Linked DNA regions of Kluyveromyces lactis. The protein of the gene in region 2 purifies or fractionates together with the protein of the main gene of each other region. This does not show direct contact. Links are inferred from orthologs where the notes say so. Each region holds a gene or a part of one and is shown on either strand. Other genes may lie near its edges.

Evidence for each region.
Region 1: the proteins of VMA1 (region 2) and RAV2 purify together in Saccharomyces cerevisiae (affinity purification with mass spectrometry; 4 studies listed by BioGRID, with this or other methods). This does not show direct contact. The link is inferred for Kluyveromyces lactis from reciprocal best matches to the Saccharomyces cerevisiae genes VMA1 and RAV2.

The regions. Positions count from the first base shown.
Region 1 is NC_006040.1:1,586,335-1,589,414, reverse strand, and holds RAV2 (Rav2p), read left to right. Parts: upstream 1-1,458; coding exon 1,459-2,526; downstream 2,527-3,080. Other genes in the region: ubiquinone biosynthesis protein COQ4, read right to left, coding at 83-1,081; SPC19 (Spc19p), read right to left, coding at 2,561-3,022. UniProt on the Saccharomyces cerevisiae protein: Component of the RAVE complex, which is required for stable assembly of the vacuolar ATPase complex V-ATPase under many conditions. May be required for transport between the early endosome and the late endosome/prevacuolar compartment (PVC).
Region 2 is NC_006042.1:527,662-532,231, reverse strand, and holds the start of VMA1 (H(+)-transporting V1 sector ATPase subunit A), read right to left. Parts: upstream 2,961-4,570; coding exon 1-2,960. Other genes in the region: KLLA0_F05379g (uncharacterized protein), read right to left, coding at 3,617-4,339. UniProt on the Saccharomyces cerevisiae protein: Catalytic subunit of the V1 complex of vacuolar(H+)-ATPase (V-ATPase), a multisubunit enzyme composed of a peripheral complex (V1) that hydrolyzes ATP and a membrane integral complex (V0) that translocates protons.

The DNA.
Region 1 (3,080 bases), on a different chromosome or scaffold from region 2:
TATCCACAGAATGACCCTGCATTATACTTTACAAAGCAACTTTACGCCAGCCATCACGATTTGGGGATTGAGGGTTTAAAATTCATTTCTCGTAGGTCTCATACTTAAGCTTGAACTGTTTTCTTTGTTTCGCTCTTTCCTTTCTAATTTTTCTCAAATCTGGAGGTGGTGTGACGTTTAATTCTCTTCTTAGTTCGTCTATGTCCTTATCCAAGATTTCTTCCCAATAGACATTGATGAGAGGTTTGCAATTCAGCCCTGCTTTGACTGCCCATGGGAGGTAGATGGAGTAAAGTCTTTCCTTTTGCACTTTCTTTAATCTCAATGGTGCTAATAGAGCACCAAGTGCAGCCATTGGGACACCAATGTTTGATGCCTCAAATGCTTTAACTGCAATCTCACCTTCGATTATGATTGGTAGGTCATTTATTGCATGATAAAAGTCATGGCATTGTCTATATCTCTTAAATATGAAAGCATGGACAGGATCATCGATATAAGTAACTGGTGCCCTTGTGTCTGGAGAGACCCCCTCTTTCATCAACCATTTGTAGTACGTATAGCCAACTGAATTTTTATCCATCTTTGACAATCGTTCCATGTCAAGGCTTTCCGATGTGATGTTTGGTCTGTCTTGTAGAATCCTTCTACCAGTCTTATCTAACAACATTGTCCGTTTTAAACTTTCAAGAAAGCAAGGTAGAGCAGTAGCTTCTCCTAATTGAACGATGTTCTCACCGTTCTCCGGGTGGAAATAAGATTTTAAACCACTGATACCGAAGAGCATCATTCGCTCATACCACCAAAGTGGAACATGACCCTCATAATTAGGTTCTATCGGTCTTGTGTTTCGTAATGCATTTAACCTTTCTTGAGTCCTTTGTTCCATCTTATGCTCATACTCTCCATTTTTATTATGCAGATTCCCTTTCTCCATAGCATCTGCTAGTCTAACATCTTTCCCAATCAATAGGTCTCCAAAAGCTGCTATTGCAGTAAATACGATTGTTCTCTTGCTATTATTCAATGGACTGAAAGCGTTACGACTTGCTTGTAAGGATTTCTTACTTACAGTAAACATTTGCGGTCGTCGTCTGATGCGTTTAATAGCACACTTTCCCTAATAATAAAAAGCTGTGTCCCGGAGTACAACTCGTCAATTGAGTCAAATCTAGAATCTGTGTAAACCTTGATCCTAATCCACGCCAGCAATTTCAATTACAACCACTTTACAATTTTCAATGATCTTCCTTTATCTCTAGTTAAAGTATATGTGGGTGAGTCGCATCAACTTCAAGAAAAGGTTTAAATTTGAAATATTCAGAAGAATCATCATACGAAAAAGGCAAAAGAATAGTAAAAAGGTTGACAAAGGAAAACGCCCATCTTAGCAAGGCTCTTGCTATCTACACGCTAAGGGAGCTTTGCTACATTAATTCTCAATTGCATAAATCCGAGATGACTACGGAATTATATAATGATGGGGCATATAAAAATGCTCCTACATATGAGGAGAGCTCTTTGTTACAACAGACATGGTTGATTAAAGAAATCATAAAGCCTGAGCTACCTAACGTTATGGACCATGTTGAGAAATGCATAAACCAACTATCTAGTCCTGAGAAATTTCGAATGCCTCTTACCAATGGGAATAGTGTCTCCGTTAACACATCAGGTGCCGCGCCAGACAGCACATCGATTAAAGGGACAATCACTAGACAGGCCGGATTTATAGTGGATTTTCAGGCTATCATTAAGCTTCCAGACTTTAGCAGGGGTAAACCAATAGTTCTAAAGATGGACCTTGATAAACAATTTCCCTTAGTTCAAATAAATGCCATAATTACAAATTTATCATCCGTATTGTCCTTATTTGACGAATTACAGCAACTTTCCGAATTACACGATATGAAACTTGATGATATTCATACTTTTCACAATAAAATTGGGAAAATATTGGAGTTACTTACACAATCTATTACATTATTACAAAATCCTCCACGAGAATTGGTCTTTCCGCATAATAACAACAGCTTCTTAAACGACAACTTCTCTGAATCTCATGACATTTGTGAATCAGCACATCATTTGGTCAATATGGAATTAGTGCTATTCAAAAACGAGATTTGCTTGGACATTAGGAATTTGACAAAAGTCATTAAAAAACCCTGGAGTGAGATCGATTCGAAAACTGGGTTATCATTCAGTGATAAAGTCAGAGACAGGCTGAAGCAAGACAGAAATGGAAAAATCGCAGAGATCCTTAAGGAAGAAGGCTTGCAAGTTGAACAAACATCTATGATAAACAATTTGATATCCAGTTTTTCAGCAACTGAAAGAATCACTCTTCCGCAAGCAAGCGATCTATTGGCTAGGTGTGTGACATTTAACGGGCGAGTTGTCACTGAATGCGAGAAAGTTTCAATTACCACCAGCGATCCTACATTGATTAGTGTCAGTGCAAAGTTGAACGGGCTTGAAAACAAAATCAGCAATCACTTTGTAAATATTCAAAATTTAAGTTAACAATGCGATAGATAGAGAGTCGGCGTATGCTTATTTATCTCTCTTCATGCAATTCCTGTATTCTTTGTATCAGTTCTTCTTTACGATTCTTTAAGTCTTTGAGACGTTCCAATTCTTCATGTGTCGAGGATACTATTACAACTGGATCCGATTTCACATTATCTATGATGGGGTTACTTTCTTGATTGTTGAATCGTAGTTTATTCAATTCGAATGTTTGTGATAGAGTGGCCCGCTCCCTTTCCAATTTGGTTAGAGCTTTTTCCAGTTTACTATATAGTTTTTGTAACAATGGTTCTATATCCTCCATCAAATCAAGTCTGGCCCTCTGCACATCATATTCTGATACCAACTGGAATACCCTCTTAGTTTGTAGCATATTTATAGCAAGTTTAGTGCTTCTATCTGTAGTGACCTTAGATACGGTTAAACATTTCGCCATGTCATCGACACATGCTGCTAAAGCATCTACACCCTCCGAAAGTACCTCTTCCATTGTGTCAAATCAGCTCAAATAACAATGCCAAATTATCACAGTGCGTTATCCAATTACA
Region 2 (4,570 bases):
TCACGCGTTGCTTCAGATAGCTTTGCCCAGTTAGCACCGTTTGATACAGATTTTTGAGCTTCATCGTGGTAAGAGATGAATGATTTCATCATATCATAAGTCTTCCAAATTGGACAGAATGCATCGTAGGTAGAGTAACCATTTTGTTGTAAGAAATCTTCTTTGATCAAAGAAGCAATATCTAAGGTAATCTTATCACCATCGGATAAAGCAGATTTACCGACCAATTGGACAACTTGTTCAAGTTCTTCAGCGTTCGAAAGGATTTCCTTCATACGATCTCTCAACACTGGGAATTCTGGATAGTTCTTTTCGTAGTATTTGTTCAAGACATTTGTATATTTGGAATAAGAAACAGAAGTATTGATGGATGGGAAATGCTTTCTTTGAGCCAACTTTTTGTCCAAACCCCAAAACACTTGAGTGATACCAAGAGTTGATGTAGTAACAGGATCGGAGAAATCACCACCGGCTGGGGAAACAGCGGCAACAATAGAAACGGAACCAATACGGTCTGGAGAACCTAAAGCAACAGCCTTACCAGCTCTTTCGTAAAAGGAGGCCAACTTAGCACCCAAGTATGCTGGGAAACCTTGATCAGCAGGCATTTCACCTAAACGACCTGAAATTTCTCTCAAAGCTTCAGCCCATCTAGAAGACGAATCGGCAATCATAGAAACGTTCTTACCTTGATCTCTGAAGTATTCAGCCAATGTAATACCAGTGTAAATGGAGGCCTCTCTAGCAGCGACAGGCATATTAGAAGTGTTTGCAACTAATGTGGTACGTTTCATGATAGGTTCCTTTCTACCACTAATTTCTGTGAATAATTCAGGGAATTCCATCAAAACTTCAGCCATTTCGTTACCTCTTTCACCACAGTTGTGAACCAAAGTCATGTTTGATAGTAAGAATTTGTGGTCTGATTCTTCAGCTAAAGTGACACCAAAATAATCAGCAGACTCAATTTTTTCTAAATCGAAAGAGATAGGTTGAGCCTTATGAATTACATCAACCTTTTCGATGTTCGAAGTGGAGGTCCAATTTGAAACACTCTTCAAAGCATCACCTGAAAGAGTCAATGTGTATTCTTGGTTTTGTTTCTTACCGGAAACGCGGATACCTAAAGAACGCGCCAATCTCGCAATACCGTCATGTGTCTTGACTGATAGTGTTTTTAGAGCGACTGTGTCATCTAGCTTTTGGTTTTGAGAGTCTACAATACCTGCCAAGAAACTTTCACGAACATTGATGTTTTCGGACATCATGAACGATGGGATGCCGCTAGAGAAAGATTCTTGAACGATCTTGGAGACAAGACTGACTTGAGCGACCTTTCTGCGTTTATTTTCTTGAACTGGCTCTTGAGAAATAACAATGCTAGCAGTGCCAACGGTCTTCCCATTAGATTGCACATCGATAGACTTTTCGGCAACAATCTTTTTATCGAATTGAGCAGACAGTTGTTGAAGATATTCTGAGTTGTCCTTACCGGAGGAGCCAACGAAAGCACCCAACAGATACGAAAATTGTGGAGCCAAAGAAGATTGGAAATCGTTTGATTTTAAGACGCCTGCTAAGTGTTCCTTCTCCAACAACACAGGGTTTATCAACTGTTGAGTTACTTCACGGATGGAAGAGTCTACCAACAACATATCCCTGGCCTCCAAAGTCCATTCAATGGATGTCGTGTCAATAGTAGTGACAAATTCAGCAGCATTTATGATAGCTTGATTACTTTCAGCATTAGCAAAAGATTTTTCAGCTCTTTCAACTAGTCTAACAGTGCGTGATTCAGTACCATTTCCCACTGAAATGTCTGCCAATCTGTTGAATGCAACGGTAACCTTTTCCTTAGACTCTGTTAGTCTTATATCTTGTGGAGTGACAAGAACTAGCTTGTGTGAGCTGTTACATTGGAAACTAATCTTGGCGGTTTCATTGTCCTCTGATTTTTCGGTAACTTGGTACATGTCATCATGACCTCTTGGTAAGCCAACAACTTGTCTTGGAAGTCCATCTCTACCCATTACTTCATCGCCTACCTGAATGTTCTCTATCAATTCATCCTTACCGTCACCCATCATTACTTCAGTGCCCTTAGAGAAACAACCAACGTAAATGATTGCATCAGAGTTGGAGTACTTAGACAATGATTGAGAAATAACAGTCTTACCACAACCAAAAGCACCTGGAATACAGGTGGTACCACCTTGAACACATGGGAACAAAGAGTCCAAGACTCTTTGACCGGTGAGTAAAGGATAGTCAGCAGAGAGCTTTTCGGTGACAGGTCTTGGAACACGCACTGGCCATGTGTGATACATGGAGTAATCGTATTTGACACCGTCAAATTCCAATTCTAGAATCTTTTCATCAACGGTGTATTCACCAGCGGAAGCAATCCATGTAACAGTACCTCTTGCTCTTGGTGGCAACAAGATCTTGTGGTCATCCAAAAGAGAGTTTTCGAAAATGGAACCGAAAATATCACCACCTGAGATATGGTCGCCTACTTTGAACTTGCCAGGAGTAAATTGCCATTTGATAGTTCTACTCAAAGCTGGAGCATCAATACCTCTTGGAATATAGATAGATTGAGAGATATCCTTAATGGCCTTCAATGGTCTTTGAATACCATCATAAATTGTCTCCATCAAACCTGGACCCAATTCGACAGATAATGGTTTACCAGTTCTTAAAACAGGGTCACCAACAGTAACACCTGTAGTTTCTTCATACACTTGGATTGTAGCCTTTTCACCATCAATACGAATGACTTCACCCACCAAGTTGTCATGACCAACTTTAACCAATTCGTACATGGCACATCCAATCATGTTTTCTGCAATCACCACAGGACCAGAAACAGAGTAAATAGCACCATATTCACTCTCCTCATGGTCTTCAAGGGTTACTCTTTTCAATTCCTTACGTGCGTTTTCCAATGCACCTGCCATTTTTGATATCTGTAGTTCTAAACTTGCACGCCCTAATAACTTCTTTAAATTAGCTAATTAATCAACCAATCAATCAATTACTCTTAATTGAAAACGTTATTAACTGTAAGAAAGAAAGAAAGAAAAATAATAGAGGAAGATACCCACGTAATGTTAGGTACAAATCTCAATGTCAATTGTTCCGAGGATATTATTATCTTAAGGTCAGTATCGATGAACTAGTTAATGAACGTTGTTCTACAGGATTTATTTCAATACTCAAACCACGCGCTCATTCATATAATGGTTTCCTTTTAAGTTCAAATTCTTAATTTCAATCTTTTTTCATACTAGTGTTATCAGCACAGTTTGCCCCTTATCAATTCTATCAGGGTAACTTTTCAGAATTTGAAAAGTCAACGATGAAAAATTGAAATACAACAAGGTGAAAGAATATGAACCGTTTGATCTTTTTAGTATTAATCGCCATCTGTTACCAATTGTATTTAAAGGTGCCTGAGATCGATACTTACTGATTATAAATATTAGCCTAAATTCCTTTGAACTTTTTAATCTTGCGTTTTTTTCCAGTTTTCTAAACTGTTTCATTGTCTATGAAAGTTAATCACATGGTTCGTCTTTTTTTTTGACGCGCGTCAGTTTTATACGAATCTCACTCAAGTAAAACATAACCAACTGGAGCAAGAGAAGGATGCATCTTGAGAAGCCTGCGTCATTTGTCTAGAGTTTGTTACATTGTTGTTGTTTTGCTGTTGTTGTGAATGTGGTAGGTAGTACTGTGGAATTGGGTAGTGATACGTGTACTGACTATTTATCGTCATATCATCTGTTCTTGCTGGTAATTTCAACGTTACGGGTACGGCTTTTGCAGTCATTGACGTTGTTGCATTGTATTCATCGATAATGTTGGAACGGTAGGTGTCAATACGTTCAGTAGTAAATGCTTTGTCTTTGTAATTCCAAATTTCGGTATTGCCCAAGTCAAGCCCATCTAAATCTTCTTCTTCATCCTCTTGTGTATCATTGATACTATTTCTCTGCATTCTTGTCGAAAATGCATCTCTTATCTGGGACCACGTTTGTGACATTGAAATAGGTTCCTGTTGGTATGGATGAGTGCCCTCGATTACTTGTACTGTGCCAAGATGCGAGGATGCTGGTCGTTTCCATCGAACTAATTGATCCTCCATCCGGCCCATTAATTGGTTATCCACAGGGAAAACACGAGTATGTTGTTTAGAAATAACCAACTCCCTAACAGATTTTTCAGAATGGTGCAAGTTTTGACCCTGAGATTTTTCTGCATGTTGCGCATCACCTTGTAACAGGCTTTGATCGAATACCCACCGACTATTGCTAAGATCTAAAGTCTCCGTCATTGTTTGTAACCTTTGGGGGATTTGAAAGACCACCGAACGTAATCGTTCACTTATAACAAGTGAAATGTATTTCAATGATACAGTCTCGAATCCACAGAAGGAGCCATGTTCAGTTTATATCTAAATCCAAGAATCGCTGACATCTGTGTGACACAGGAACTGATATATAGTTACCCTACCGCCTTCAACGGAAGAATATTACATACTACAAAGGGAACCCAGCCTTCCCTG